Saccharomyces cerevisiae S288C: one gene and its partner. The protein of the gene in region 1 interacts with the protein of each later gene in a biochemical or structural test. Each region holds a gene or a part of one and is shown on either strand. Other genes may lie near its edges.

Region 1 (7,803 bases):
ATGAGCGAATGAAAAATGCTTTTAATAAAGAGGTACTTGATGGACCCTGAAAGTTTAAGGAGGCAGATAATGAATGTATATAAATGTTACATGTGGAAGAGAGCGTTCCACAGTAATAGAAGCCTACTGGAAGTTAAACGTCGTGAAAAGAGTCTCCAGAGAAAAATTTTGGAAAGGATTCTTAGACCCAAGGAGGAAAATGCTGTCAAAAAATCTGGATTCAAGCTATGGTCAAGCCATTTGAATAACCCACACAAAACTTATATGCGGCTGGAGGAATTACAGAGACGTATTATGGAAGAGGTACACGTTGAAGGTATTAAAAAGAATGATAAGTTATTCAACGAAATAAATCAATGGCATTTCCAAAATGAAAACACAAGTACTGTTCGAACACCAACATTGCTGATACATGGCTATGCCGCATCTTCAATGTCTTTTTTCAGAAATTATCCAGGTCTGTCCAAGCACATCCGAAATTTATACTCAATTGACATGCCAGCGAGCGGATTGTCTTCAGTACCGTCTTTAGAGATCAATACAACAACACCTCTGCCGTTAGATATCAAATTTATTGGAGAAAATAAATTTAAGGTTCCATATACAATAAATGCAAATCACAATAAATTTGTGATTCAAATGTACGAAGATTTCTATCTCGACAGAATCGAGCAATGGCGCATTGATAACAAATTGGGCAAAATGAATGTTGTGGGGCATTCTTTTGGCGGATATTTATCTTTTAAATATGCTGTTAAATATCCAAACTCGGTAAACAAACTTTGCTTGGTATCCCCACTAGGAGTGGAAAGGAATATCTGGTCTGTAAATAATAATTTCCACTCCAACACTCTTTATACTATCGATTTTAAAAATCCAAATTCCAAGTTTTACTCCAAAAGAAATATGATTCCAAAATACTTATTTGAACAACAATTTCACATTTTGAGAATGATGGGACCATTAGGAGCTAAGTTATGTTGGAATTACATAATGGCGGCATATAGCCGAGTCCCATCGTTGGCATACAAAGAGTACATATTTGAACTGTTTTACGGTAAGGGAGGTATACCGGAGGTTACGACAGATATTTTCAAAGCGTTATTTTCAAGATGTATCCTAGCAAAGGACCCCTTGATGGATTCTCTGCAATATTTAAATGTTAAGAAATTATTGATAGTATATGGGCAATATGATTGGATGAATAAAAAAGCCGGTATGTTCATGGTCAAAGAGTTGAACAATTTAAAGAACTGTCTAGAAGGAGCAAGTTATTTAGAAATACCTTCTTCCGGTCACAATCTTTTTTTAGATAACCCAGAATCATTCAACCAATCTATAGTGTCCTTCTTATCAGACGAAACTAAATCGCCTTGATAGCAACCAAATCAAGTAGCAAAGAGCCAAAAAATGTGTTAATGTATGCTATCCCCCTTTTTGCTTTTGCGCTCCTCACACCTCTTTTCTTTGCTTTGAAATTTTTCTCAAATAAAATCTTTACAATCATCGCTACTAGTTAATTCATCCAATTTAGTGAGGAATAACGGATCAAATTCCACTAAATTTTCTAATCGAGATATGCTATTCGAATAATCCTCCGATACAGGGTCTTTCGGATATTCCCTGGGGAAATACTCTGTGTCACTTTCTTTTGAAGGAAGGATCATCGAGGGTGAAGAATCGCTTCCACTTGACTGTTGTAACAAATCTTTTTCTACCTTAACCATTTTATTTACATCAAATCGACGACTATGGTATGATTTTTTCTGTTTTTGGGCTAGGTCATTTAAATCATCAAGTGATATGGTCTTCTGCTTGAAATCTTTGTTGCACAAGCATTTCGCAATTTCGAAAACATTTTTCATGATTACTTTCTTCACAGTTTCTTTCTTAAAAATGGTCATTGCGGCGGTCACTCCTGTAAGCTCGTCCAAAATCTCAAGGCTGAAGGGAGATTGCGGTAGAACATTCATAATTATCGTGCACATCAATTTCAGTCGATCCGCTTTCTGGAGGTGGTCCGGCTCTTTATGTTCTACATCTTTTGGCCACCATTCCGGCCTTCCAGCATTGCCTTTAATGTATGGAAACCTGGTTTTCTTCCTTGGCTCAATAATTTTTATCCACAACTTAGCAATCGCCTTGCATGGGACCTGTCTTAATAATTTAAAAGCCGTATACAGATAATTCTGTATTAGTAGGGGTTGATCTAAGGGTAGCATGATCGCTGGTTGGATATTTTCTTCATAAACAGTTATTCTTTTCCTATTTACCAATGGATCGAACGTGAGTGGAGGGTTTTTTTCAATTGAAGATGATATAAAACTCTCTGAGAACAAGTTTTTTGGAATTGACTCACTTATTAAATGGTCTTTTTCCTTTATGAACACCATAAACTCATATCCTTGACCATTTAGCAGCGCCAGCGCCCTTCTAAGCTCTTCCATACCTATACGCATGTACTTAAGCTGACTCTATCGAAAAATGACGTACGCACAAATGCACATGTATACATACGCAATCCATCCTTTATATAAGCTGAGAAACAAGCAGAGGAACCTGCTTCAGTTGGGCCATCCCTTCGATGCTATATACTTCTAATCTTAAACTCTTCACTAAGACTTCGCAGGCACCGCTTCAAGGATGTCTCAGGTCGCGAGATTACTACAACAACTTAAAACAACCCTGATGCAACTGCAGCGTGCTGTTTTTCAACAGTACAAGAAAAAGTTCCATATTGTGCCATTGCCGATGCCATTGCAAAGGAATTTGTTCTCAGTCGCATCTCTCCTTTACTGCAGATCTGAGTTACTTTGAATCCTTGATAATATGGATCGAGTGCCTCTTCCATTATTTCTATTATTATAATCTCAACGCTTAATATGAATTAACCAACCACACTCAAACCAAATCTACGCCAGCTACAAATGGTAGGAGAATGAAGACACACCAGGACTCAAACAGGATTTCCCAACAATGTCTTTCAACATGCTGCTTGCCGGTCACTACTGCACTTCCTGCGCCTTTTCCGTTGAATCACCCTCCATAGTGCGGCAGATGGAACCAACCTAACCTTTTTTCAGCAGGAGGTAAAAAATTCGCCGGTTTTCTATCTCCCTCCGTCATCGGCAGGGCGTTGACACCTGTCCAAGTACAACACACATGTGAATTTTTTTCAGTGATTAAAGGCTCATCTCATCATATCTTATTGTAATCAGTATTTGGCGTCATAAGCAATTCGAAATTGGTTCGGTTCCATCTCGTTGACGTGCAATAAATAAATACATGGAACAGCAAAGGAGAAAATGCAACAAGCAACTGGGAACGAATTACTGGGTATCCTAGATCTGGATAACGATATAGACTTTGAAACTGCTTACCAAATGCTCAGCAGTAACTTCGACGACCAAATGTCTGCGCACATACATGAAAACACGTTTAGTGCAACTTCCCCTCCTCTGTTAACACACGAGCTCGGCATAATTCCTAACGTAGCAACCGTGCAACCCTCTCACGTAGAAACTATACCTGCCGATAACCAAACTCATCATGCTCCTTTGCATACTCATGCACACTATCTAAATCACAACCCTCATCAACCAAGCATGGGTTTTGATCAAGCGCTTGGTCTCAAGTTGTCTCCTTCCAGTTCGGGGTTGTTGAGCACGAATGAATCGAATGCCATTGAACAGTTTTTAGACAATCTAATATCACAGGATATGATGTCTTCCAACGCTTCCATGAACTCCGAATCACATCTACATATAAGATCACCAAAAAAGCAGCATAGGTATACCGAATTAAATCAAAGATATCCTGAAACACATCCACACAGTAACACAGGGGAGTTACCCACAAACACAGCAGATGTGCCAACTGAGTTCACCACGAGGGAAGGACCTCATCAGCCTATCGGCAATGACCACTACAACCCGCCACCGTTTTCAGTACCTGAGATACGAATCCCAGACTCTGATATTCCAGCCAATATCGAGGACGACCCTGTGAAGGTACGGAAATGGAAACACGTTCAAATGGAGAAGATACGAAGAATAAACACCAAAGAAGCCTTTGAAAGGCTCATTAAATCAGTAAGGACCCCACCGAAGGAAAACGGGAAAAGAATTCCCAAGCATATTCTTTTAACTTGTGTAATGAACGATATCAAGTCCATTAGAAGCGCAAATGAAGCACTACAGCACATACTGGATGATTCCTGAGCTCATACAAGCTATTAGTGATGAAAATGGCCTCCCGTTGGATGTATTTTTAGTTAATTTCGTATACATGGGCGAAAATATCATATGATTGCAAAGCTGGTCATGTAAATATATTCATTATAAACCAGACGGTAGAAAATCTCGTTTCTTTCCAGAGTGTAGCGTAGATTTTTGCGGACAAGAATTACCAGTATCTTCATTTTATTTAGAAGTTAAGAGAATCCGGAGGCAATGATGGTGAAGTAAAGAAATCTTTCAACGGCGAAGTATAATCTGTCTTCACAAACAGAATAACTGCGTACAAACTCGCAGTTATATGACCGTTACGAGTTGTATTGATTCAGTGAAGTAATAGTCCTATTACATCCATATGAATCCTGTCCTGGTAAACGGTGCAATGATCGCTCTACGTATACAAATTCTCTCCATCAATCGATGATGAACTGCTTTACACATAAAGTACGTGCCATTTATTTATAAATAATACCAATTAAGGGACGAAAATATTAACTGCTGAGTGTCTGCTTAGGTCCATTCTATTTCTTCTTTCCAAAAGAGAATAAAAAGAATCTATATATATATATAAATTTCTATCGAACGGATATTCTTGTTTTCGAATATCAAAAATGTAAGCTGTGGTTTCTCAGGGAACGTGTTACTTACAACTTTAGTTCTTTTAATATACTAGAAGCCAGCTCTTTATACAACCAAGTGTTCCCAGAAATTTTCTTAAAATGCACACCGGCTAAACCAACAATACGAACCTTGACGATATGAATTTCGAATTTGATGGGCTCTTTTTCTGTTGTAGTCATGCCTTCGCTACCGTCACCTTGTTGGTGGATGTTCTCCAAAGATGTTCCCGAATGCTTATCATCTCCATAGGTTTCGGTAATAGATGTTTTTCTCTGGTGAATGGAATTAGTTGTCAAAGGAGAAGAAGGTGAGTATTTATTAGAGCCTTGACGTCTAATGGATTCGTGGTGCGAAAGTGGCATGATCGATCTTGGAGTCCCTTCTCTCTTCGCTGCCACATTATTGGAAGAGAACCTTTGCATACAAACAAAACCACCCTTAACCTCCTTGAACTCTATATTCATTTTCCTCAGAACAAACATAATCTTGTATCTAACAATTGGCAAAGGCTTCGATGAAGTTGTCTGAACAGAAAAGAAACCCTTCAAAAATAAAGAACGGGGGAAATCGATGGATGGCATAGAACCGGCTGGAGCTCTAGAAGCTTCCTGCAATATCTCTTCATCTGTTAATTCCTTCTCCACAGATGGCGAGTTTATGTGTGCGTTCACAGAATGCACGCTGACGCTATCATTCGTCTGTGAAGTAACATTTCCCAAACTATCGGATTTGTTATCGTCACTTGATTCTAAGAACCCAGTATCTATAAGCTCTTGCTGAGGATAGGCAGATGAAGGCATTGGGGGTCTCATATATTTGAGTGATTCACGACGAGCATGACCAACTGATTTAGCTCTTGCGCTTGGATGTAGTTTTCGACCTTTTGCAACATTGAGAGGTGGTAAGGGATGATTCTCGTCGTCGTCGCTTCCTTCAAACTTCTGTGCAGCGTAAGCTTCCCGCCCGCTTCCTTTTGCAACTTCATTATTCTGTTTATTAATATCATGCAATTTCATTATATCTTCTTCAATTTGCTTCTCCCTTTGCTTCTCTACCATATTTTCTGCATCCGCAGGCAATGCTGGAAAGTCACCTTTATTGCCACCTCTGCTATCGTTTGTCTTGACAGGCTCATTCATGGTATAATTTGAATCATAACTCGGTTTAGCAAAACCAGGGACAAAGTCTGAAACAGCGCGAGAATGCGTCTTTTGCACAGGTTTATTGATACTATTATTACTATTAACAGATGTCTGTTCAATGGTCTTTTTACGGCGCTGTGATAATTTTCTAAATATATTCCCAAACTTCGCCTTTTCTGAGGGATCGCCAGTAGTTGAAGGTACCCTAAATTGTTGATAGTCATTTCCCTGAGGAGTTGGAGAGAGAGCATATTCCATTTCACGGCGTTGATTATCAGAACTTTTTCTACTCGTTGGTGACGTATGCGCTTGTTCTGGCATTGCTAACCTCGGTGGAATTAAGACATGTAAGGGGGGCTCTGTGCCATCGCTATTCTTTGGAGTGAATGGCACAGAGGTATCTTTTGTCGCCAACGTGGCTTCTGGCTCTGATTTCATAGCGGTTGTATTGACCTCTACGTCCCTTTGCTTCACACTTTCCGGTATTTCAGAAAGCTTTTCTATATTTTCGTGGCTCTGTCGCTGTTGTTGATTCCGAATTTTCGCATGTTTCCTATCAAGCATCTCAGAAGTCAAGTAATATATGGAAATCATTGGATGATATGCCCGAGTTGGGTCTTCAAAACTCTCTGTTATGTTTGGCGCGTTTCCGTTATCACTGGATTCTGCGTTCATTTTGGCCGCTAAAGTCCAGTATTGTCTAGAGAGAAGAACGTAAGTAGGATCTGTGATTATACTGACCAAAACACTTCTTGTTTCCTCTACATCGTCAATAAATTCTAAACGGTACATTTCTTTTAAGACATTTATATCAAGCATTTCGATAGTTAGGGGAACTCTTTTCGGTAAGTAAGAAGGAGGGGGACCATTGAACCCTCTTACCATCCAGTGGTGCTCCACAACCTGTTTAAGTGTGGCTCTTCTTTTCGGATCTACTACCAACATTTTGGATAACAGTGATATTACTTCGATAGATAAATGTTGGGGATATTCAACCTTACCTTGCTTGATCTTTTCATGTAAAACGCTCGAATTTTCGTCGTCAAATGGCACTTTACCGCATACCAAAACAAATAAAACTACACCAAATGACCAGACATCTACTTCAGGTCCTGTATAAGGATTCGCTTTTAACAGCTCGGGAGCGGCAAAATACAGAGAGCCACAGAATGTATGAAGCTGCTTCCTAGAATCATAAATATTTGAAAGTCCAAAATCAATTATCTTGATTTCACTGGAATCTGAAATCATTATATTTTCTATCTTCAAATCTCTATGGACGATGTTGTTAGCATGCAAATATATTAAGGCGCTCGCGATACCCCTAGCAAACTTTCTCGCTTGGTGTTCTCGTATTGACCCATGTTGGATGATATAGTCTAACAGCTGACCACCTGAAACATATTCAAACAACATATAGAAATGATTTGACAACGTGCACATCTCAAAAAGTCTACATATGTGTGGATGATATAAGATTTGTCCCAAGGACGCTTCTCGAATAGTTCTTTTGTCCCTAGATATTTCCTTCTCTAATTTCTTCTGTCTCTCCAAAACATCTTGTTCATTTTTGGGTGGTGGCAGCATTTGTTCTTTATGTAGGAAAGCCTTTGTAGCACGGTTTACAATTTTTACTGCACAAACCTCATTAGTGTAACGATGTTTTGCCAGCTTCACTTTACCCATAGAACCTGCACCAACTGTTTCAACAAACTCCCAATCTCCTAACGATTTTCGATGAAACTGCTTAGGCATGCCCTGAGAAGACGAAACTCGACTCTGGCTGGTAGTATTTGGCTTTGGTG
Region 2 (8,382 bases), on another chromosome or scaffold:
TTGTGGCCCCGAATGCGTTGAAATGACGAGGTGAACACCTAGTAGACATGAATTGGGTAAACATTCATCCATTGAAGCTTAGTTTCTACCCAAAAGATGACTCTGTTCCCTTTTTTTTTTGAATTTTCTTCACATTTCAATAGCTTATCTATGTTTAATGGTATTTCAAGATATCACAAGCGAAAAAGTTACTTAAGAAAAAAGACTAGTGATCCTTACATGGCTTATAACTCATTCACCATCGAATCATTGTAAAATCATATGCCATCTTAGTATAGTGGTTAGTACACATCGTTGTGGCCGATGAAACCCTGGTTCGATTCTAGGAGATGGCATTTATTTTTTTGAAATTGTATTTTTTTTTGGACTAGTATTCATTATCAAAGATTTCAATTTATATAATATTTAAATGTAACCGTTTTCAATTCTTGAAAAACATTTTTTATAAAGCAACAGCTCCCATTCTTATTCATTTGTATTCAAAAATTCTGGCATCAATCTCGTTCATTTCAGCTTTCTTTTGGAAAAAAATTTCCCGCTGACATTCTATGATGACGTTCTTTAATGGTGAAGTTGCAATATCCCAGCTGTTGGCAGTCAGAGATGCTATCAAATTCTTGGCTAAGGAGTAGTCGCGCTGATTCAAACTCAATAATTGAATGGATTTGTTATGCACTTCATTATTTTGTGCCAAAACTTGCGTAATACGAATTCCTTTATAGTTTGCCATCGTGCAAATATAAGCGTTGCGTTCATTCGAGTGAGTATAATTTAGGGCTATGCTAATCCCATAGGGGTCCGCATCGGTAAATATAGAACAGTCCGATATCAATTTGGAGCAATATTGTTCTAGTTTTTTTAGGAATAACCTTGTCAAGAAATCTGGAAATCCCTTACCTGTAATGAGCATGGTATTTGTACTCAACTTGTGATAATTATTTACTAATTTGGTGAAGACAGCTTCTTTTTCCACTATTACAATATTACACATACTTGTTGTCCCTAACTTGATGACCGCATCATCTTGGAAAAATGGAATTAGACAGGGCTTACCAGGGAAAATTGTTTGCTTTTGCATCTTTGGTTCATTTTCACATGTCAGAATATTGTCATAAATATCAATGGGGAAAGGCGAATAAACTAAACCCTTTTGAGCTGGTATAATGTTTAAGGATTTTCTTGGAGAGAGCTTGAAATTAAAGCGTATAACGTCCAGCCACTGGACTACGTTTGCTTGTCTTTGAAACAATTCCACGTTGGAGTAGAAGATATCTCTCACTGTAGTGTTTTTACCTAGCGGTAATTTTTCCATAACGACTTTCAATAAGTTTAAAAGGATTGCGCATCTTTTCAACTTGAACTGATGAGTGCATAGATGCGGGCCATTCAAAGGGAAGTCCAATGTTGTGTGAATGTCAGGACTGCTTGTATCGCCTTTTTTTTTTTTGTTTTGAAAGACGATTGAAATAGGCTGTTGATGTTGCTCTAATGAATTAGCCGCCAATGACAGGAAATGCTTAATATGAGCCAAAACATCTGCGTTTGAACAGGGAGTTCCGTTGGAGTGACCATTGGAGTTCAAGTGAATGGACCGTCTTTTAGGAGTGAGTGCTTTGACCAATTCCTGCCTTGTTTTATATTTTTTCCGCAATCCCTCCAAAGCCATGAGAAGGTGAACTTAGTAAATCGTAAAATCTTAAGGGTGAAGACAAATATGTGAGGTTATTTGAATGATATTTAGTTGGATATAATCACTAAATAAAGTAGATTTTCCTTGGGTAGTAGACTTTCTTTTACGTTATTCCTTTTATAATTTTAATTTTAGTTATTGATTTCAATGAAACAAAAGGAAACTGACGGCTTCTTAAAATAAATATATTTAACATGAAACATTAAAAAAAAAATTGTCACTACACAGAGAGAAAATAAATAAATATAAAGAATCACATAACTATGCTGAAAAAATGAAGTTATTTGTCATGAGGAAACTTCTCTTCCAAGAACTTTAATTTACTCTTGAAAGTATCAGAATCGAAATAGCAACCCTTTAACCATTGCTGGTTTGAGCTTGTTAAAGAGTTAGCATGCAAAATTCTCCTGTTGTTAAAGATAACACAACAGTTTTCGGGCAACTGCAATCTAAATTGATTGTTGAAGTCATTGATATGACTCTCGAACAAGTTCAACCCCCTAATGAAAGACTTAAACAAAAATCTCTCTGTTAGTTTTGCTGGGGTGGTAATTAAATTCAAGTCCAGATTATTATTTAGATCTGAGGGCTTATCATAAATTCCGAAAGTGAAAGGTGCTTGGTATGGTGGAGAGTAGTTAATGCATTTAATCAAGGCCTCATAATTACCCAGAAGAGTATTGTCCTCGTTAATGTCGTGATGTTCGATTAAAGGTTTGGATTGGTAGTACCTCTTATCGCCGTTTTCATATATATAATTTACAGGAACAATTTGTAAAGCCTCATAAGCCTCAAAATCCGATTCTCTAACATTACGGGTAGCATAAAATGCGTCCACGAAGTAATTCATGGGTCTAGTATTGGGATCTTCCCCTTCTGTAGCAGGTAGAGATTGTAGAATCTGGAAACCTGGCACATTTTCTAAAAATGGTAAATCCGTATGTAGCGGCAAGTCTTTATTGGCATAATGGGCATTAACACTTGTCGCTTGGGATGCATTCACGTCAAATGTACCTTCACCATGTACAGTCGATCTTATGGGTCCGATCCTTTCACAGATCTTTTGTATGGTAAGGCCTTCAGAGGAGGATGAAGGAGTACCGGAAATGAAAGCGATACCAAACTTTTGTAGGTTGACCAGCGTTTGGAAAAGCTTGGAGTCATCCTTAGGATCAATAAACTCGTTGTAGCTCACAGAAAGTAAGTCCTTGACGTTATCTTTCAGGATGCGCTTATTCCATAACTGGGGTCTATATCTGGATTCTTGTTTTCTTGTTGCTGGCGAAACAAAACTGGAACCTTTATAGTCGATAAAGAATTGTAAAGGGAACTGGTGATGACCGCCATCTTTCCATTTCACCACTAGAGATTTTCCGTCCTCAGAAATTTGAATGTCCTGAGGAGCGGTCAATTTCTCGTTATGATACAGTTCTCCCGTGGTCACCAGCTTGGCACTATGGGAGGCATCTCTAAGAAAAACGTTGTTAAAGCAAACGGAAACCGGCTTGCTGGACTCCTCCATGGAGAACGTAATTGTCGTAGAATCTCTATTGAAGTATGTTTTGATGATATGTCCCCGATTCGCAGCCGCAGCTGTCGCCGCAGATGTGTATGTCCTTGGTGTAGTGGTCAGTCTTGCAAGGATTCGAGATCCTCTGCATAAATTTGATCTTAGCATCTTGTGTTGGTAATTGGTTTCTAATAATTATTTTTTCTTTTTAACTTGGAATATGTTCCTGGCCAGTTGTGAAGAGTTACCCCTGATATTTGGATCTAGAAGGGCTTCTCCTTATATAGATAGCACTTTTCCTCGAGGATCAACCCCGGAAATGTATTCCCGACCCCCTTACGGCTGCGCAAAGGTCCTTACTGAGCCATTCAAAGGTAAAGAGGGTCCGATAATAATGGTAGTTCAAAAGGGGAGAAGCGGGGCTGGTACAATATCACGATTATGATTATGATTATGATTATGATTATGATTATGGATATTATATAAACTATATTATTCCGTATAATATTATTACTGGTGGTAATGCATGAAAGACCTCAATCTGTCTCGGTTAGTCCTTGCTATCCACGTTGTCCTGAGAGGGCTTTACGTAATTGCCATCCTTCTGCTGTTGCTGCCTGTACTGTTGCTGCTGTTGCAAGAAACGCTCCCTGATCATTTCTTTTACCTCCTGTTTCTGCTTCACCCATTCTTCAGCCTTGCCCAACGTGGAGTCGACTACGCCCATGACATTTCTCACCATTTCCAGGGATTCTTTGGCGAGAATGAGTACTTTCCCATTCGCAGTTACGGAGGAGGACGGCGAGGCTGAGTCGTCGCCATCCTTGTTCCTTTTTTGCTGTTGCTGTTGCAGGAGTTGCTGCTGCAAAAGTTGCTGCTGCTGCTGCTGTTGCTGTTGCTGTTGCTGTTGCTCCACTTTTTGTTCTTCACAGTTGGCATAATGAAACGAAGCATGATGCGGCAGTGATGTACTGTGGACGCTGTCGAACCAATTTGTGGGTAAGTTTAGAAGACTTTCCCGAACCTGAGATCTTGCGGGCTCCGGCAGCGAATTTGCTGTGAACTTCGATATCAGCGAGTAGACTTTCTTGACTGTGCCGACCACCTCCATTTTCACCACAATAGACTGCTCGCTGGCGTTGACCTGCTCTGAGGCATCAAAAAACTCCTCATCGTCGTCGTCTTCGTCTGACGATGTCTCGTCCTCGCCAGCTCCAGTGGTCGTCCTAGCATTTCCATCTTGCTTGTGCAAAGGATGCACCTGCTCCTTTTCAACAAGGTCCTGTAAACACGAGATTTTATCGGAAAGCTGCTTATTGGCCAGCTTTAAAAGATGCAAGCACGTTACAAGCCTCTTCTTAGACTCGATGGACATGTTCAGCTTGTACTCTTTCAAGTTGTCCTTCCCCTTGGCAATCGCCCGCGACAGCTTCTGTCTCTTGTTGGTGAAGAACTCATCGTCGTTGTAGTCGTAATCATCATGCTCGTCATCGTCATCGTCTAGCAGCCTCCCTATTGATTTCAGTGGCCTCTTGTTGGTGTTTATTTCATCGTAGAATGTCACTACGTTACTGATAATTTTGTTACTTACGCGATCCAAAATGTTTAGCGGCGTCGTAGACGACTCACTTGCCGGCATTTTGTCAGCTTGTGAGACGTCCTCTGAAGGCTGCGACTTCTGTCTGCATGATTGTTTCAACACCCCAAGTACTTCAGCCGCTTCTACCTCTTCCTCTGATAATCCTAAACGTTGATTTTCAGACATCAATGACTAGTATCTTCGTTAAAAACACTGTCCTGATACACACGCTTTAATCAGCACTGTAAACAAAATGCCACGTTCTGGCCTGATATGCTTTCTTGGCTAAGTGCAGATCGCTGTCTTGCTCCAATCCTCTTATTAATCCCTCTCATTGAGGTGGAAAAAAAAAAAATAAGAACGCCCGATTTTACCCGGTTGCATATGAAGATTATAAGGTGCCATCTATATACTAAAACGAACGTACCATTTGTCTATCTATGAGATGTCTGCGTAAGCGTCAAACAATATATGCGTACTCTTCGTCGCTGACGGTCTTGTATCTGACCCAGGGGAAAGACTGGTACTGCAATTGTGGCTCTTCGACCTTCAAGTACTCAACTTTCAGGCCACTGCATGTACAGTACGGAATCTCGAAATCAATGTTGACCAACTTATCTCGAGGAGTAACGTGGGAAGTTTGTTGGTCGTGCACTTGTCTATATAGTTCTTCCAGCCTGGGTCCCGTGCGCAAGGGCGGCGGATTCATTGAGGTTTTCATTTCTTCTTGCAGGCGGTCATATTCTTCCTGGTTGAAGAGGGGGAACTCTGCCACCATGGATGCACACGTATTTGGATCATCTTCGTCGCTGTTGTACTGTGAGCTCTTGTTTGTGCTATGTTCTCGGTGCCCCTTCATGGTTTGTATCTCCCAGAGGAGAAAATCGTCACTCAAGTTAAACACGACCTTGCCGATGTTTGCCTTGAATCTAATTTGCTTGCTGAGGTCTATTTTATATTCCTGGAAGACTTTTGTCAGGGGAATTCTCACGTTTAGCTTCGACGTTGAGTTGGTGGGTTTAAAATTTGTTTGAATTTTGGTTACAATTTGGATTTTAAACTTCTTCAGTTTAGGTTTGATTTCAAAATCTTTCAACCTCACCATCGGCGCATCCTTTACATGTCTCTTCAACTCGTATTGGCAAAGAACAAATTCGCCATCCGGCGGTATAAATTCGATTTCTCTTGCATCTGTGGCGGCCTGCAAACCAGCATCATCGTCACTATTCTTTTCTTCATCTTTTTCAATAGTGTTTATGGAATCTAGTGAAACACACTGATGAAAGCTGGAATTCGACATGAACTGGGGGTCCCTGTTCAGTATCTTGTTTATGGATATTTTCAGTTTGGGCATCCCTGATAAATAGCATCTGCACACAATCTCTCCATGTATCAGATTTTTCCTAATCACTCCTTTTTCAAAATCCATCAAGTACTGAACACGTTCAATAACATCAAGAAAGAACTCGTTTTTGGCGTAATGTATCCCCTTTGTTCTCCATGATATGGGCATTATAATCGTCTTCGCAATATCGCCATTGATGTATAAATCATTACCGTCATTGGGGAGCTCGTCATTAGCGGCTTCTTTACCGGTATCATTCTTGTTCCTTAGTGTCTCCTTGACAGTTTCCACCACGTTTATGCCCCTATTTTCTTTATTGTTTACCATTATACTTTTTAATTTACTTTTGCCCACGCTTTTCCCTTTAGTGCCCTTTTTCTTCTTCCTTTTCTTCTTCTTATCCTTCCTCTTATTAGTATTGCTGTACTCGCTATCGCTATCGCTACCGCTACTACTACTGCTCTCTTCACCAGGGCTCCACTCCTCATTGTCTACTGTAACTCTTGGTACGTTGACCTTCACACGAATGTAGTCCTTGATGATACTTGGATCCGTCACTTGTACGATACCAAAGTCTATACATTCATCAATCAACTCCAGGACAAGTAAGATGTTGTCCAGTATGACATTCTTAGTTAAGACCTCGATTTCAAAATATTTTTGTAAAAGATGATAAAATTGTTCCAAAAAGGCTAGTATAGTCATTAAGTCTATATTTGGTTTGTCTGTGGTATGTATCACTGAAACGAAATGCAGAAAGTCTCTCTTCAAATGTATAAAGAACCAATCGTTTTGGGAGAGAATTGGAGGCGACCCGTCATGATAACATTGTTTGAAACTTGAAAGAACCGACGATAGATTCGGTAGTGCTCTAATATTCTTCGATACCAATGGCTCCAGATTTTCATCCAGGATAAAAAGGCTTGACGACATGCCTTTCCTTCCTGATTTCCTCTTTACTATTTTTGGGTCCCTTTATTTGCTTTTTGTCCAAGGCATTCTCAATTTTCCAATCTGGAATTTAAGCCCTTCCAGTTATAAAACAGTAAACACAACCTACCAAAAGCAGAAAGAAACCAAAGTAAGAATACAATGCACAACAAGATTGTTAGAATCGCGTCCAGTGCACTCACAGGGGGCAAACTACTCGAGAAGCTAAAACCCTTGACCCGTTGGGAAGTTCAATGGGACCCTAATAAGACCAAATGTTTGGGAATAACAAGAGAGGTAACATTCAAGGACTACGAAACCACATGGGCCTTTTTGACTCGTGTATCGATGAGATCTCATCTATGGGGCCACCATCCCCTGATTCACACAAGTTACACCTGGGTCAAGCTGGAACTTCATACGCATGACATAGACCCGAAAGACGGGGCTCACAGCCAGCTTAGCGATATAGACGTCCGGATGGCCAAGAGAATAGATTCCTACATCGATGAGATGACAACTTGATAAGGCAGGGCAGGTCTAAAAGGCTATTGCTCTTTCCATTTTTTTTTTCCTATCGATTTTACTACTAGAAATTTTTGCTACCCATACCCATTCTCGCATTGCAACATGGAAAAACTGAAAATTGAAAAAAAAGGTATTGAAATTTCAACTGTATTGTGTAAATCATTTTTGGGCAAACTAGACACAATAACTAGCGAACAGAAAAATGGATAGAACGTGGCTATTACTGACGTGGCTGTTGCTACTCTGTGGGGTAGTTCAAGGGAACCAAGAAAGCATAAATCAAAAATATCACGATGTCTGTTCAGGGATGTATTCCAAGGAGGATTTCAATGGAAAAGTTGACCCCTATATATCGTTTACGTTGGAGGAATTGTCACTTGCTGATGAAGACGATGATGGCGAGGGGGTTAGTGTTGCTGTGTTTGATTTCCAAGATTATGAGCATATTGGTGTGCGGTTACCAAATGGAGAAATTCAGTATATTTGCGATGACTACGCATTGGATTTGGGCCTCTGTGAGGATTCGTCGGAGGGGCAATTTATCATTCAAGAGACAGCCATCGATCCGTTCACCAGTAAGGAACATAAGCTAACGAGTCAGATTTTGACTTTCACTCAACAAGAATTGGGCACTAACGACAAGGTATACTCAATTAACAAAACTGGTTACTATTGTGTGACCACGTCATCTTTCATTTCTTCCAGTTCCAAGTTTAAGGCTACAGTGAATTTTAGGAACGCTTACGGTCAATTGGACGCTTCAGAGGCGTACAAGATGCCTATTTATGCCTTTTTGGCCG

The links. The genes of interacting proteins can lie anywhere in the genome.
Region 2: the proteins of INO2 (region 1) and OPI1 form a complex in vitro, tested with the Saccharomyces cerevisiae proteins (2 studies listed by BioGRID).

What each region holds. Positions count from the first base shown.
Region 1 is NC_001136.10:694,971-702,773, reverse strand, and holds INO2 (Ino2p), read left to right. Parts: upstream 1-3,305; coding exon 3,306-4,220; downstream 4,221-7,803. Other genes in the region: ECM18 (alpha/beta hydrolase family protein), read left to right, coding at 16-1,377; YDR124W (uncharacterized protein), read right to left, coding at 1,485-2,459; serine/threonine protein kinase KIN1, read right to left, coding at 4,880-7,803. UniProt on the Saccharomyces cerevisiae protein: Positive regulatory factor required for depression of the coregulated phospholipid biosynthetic enzymes. Also involved in the expression of ITR1.
Region 2 is NC_001140.6:62,492-70,873, forward strand, and holds OPI1 (transcriptional regulator OPI1), read right to left. Parts: upstream 4,966-8,382; coding exon 3,751-4,965; downstream 1-3,750. Other genes in the region: NPR3 (Npr3p), read right to left, coding at 1-72; SPO11 (DNA topoisomerase (ATP-hydrolyzing)), read right to left, coding at 470-1,666; AIM17 (Aim17p), read right to left, coding at 1,971-3,368; APM2 (Apm2p), read right to left, coding at 5,240-7,057; MCO14 (4a-hydroxytetrahydrobiopterin dehydratase), read left to right, coding at 7,217-7,579; YHL017W (uncharacterized protein), read left to right, coding at 7,785-8,382. UniProt on the Saccharomyces cerevisiae protein: Negative regulator of the transcriptional complex INO2-INO4 in response to phospholipid precursor availability.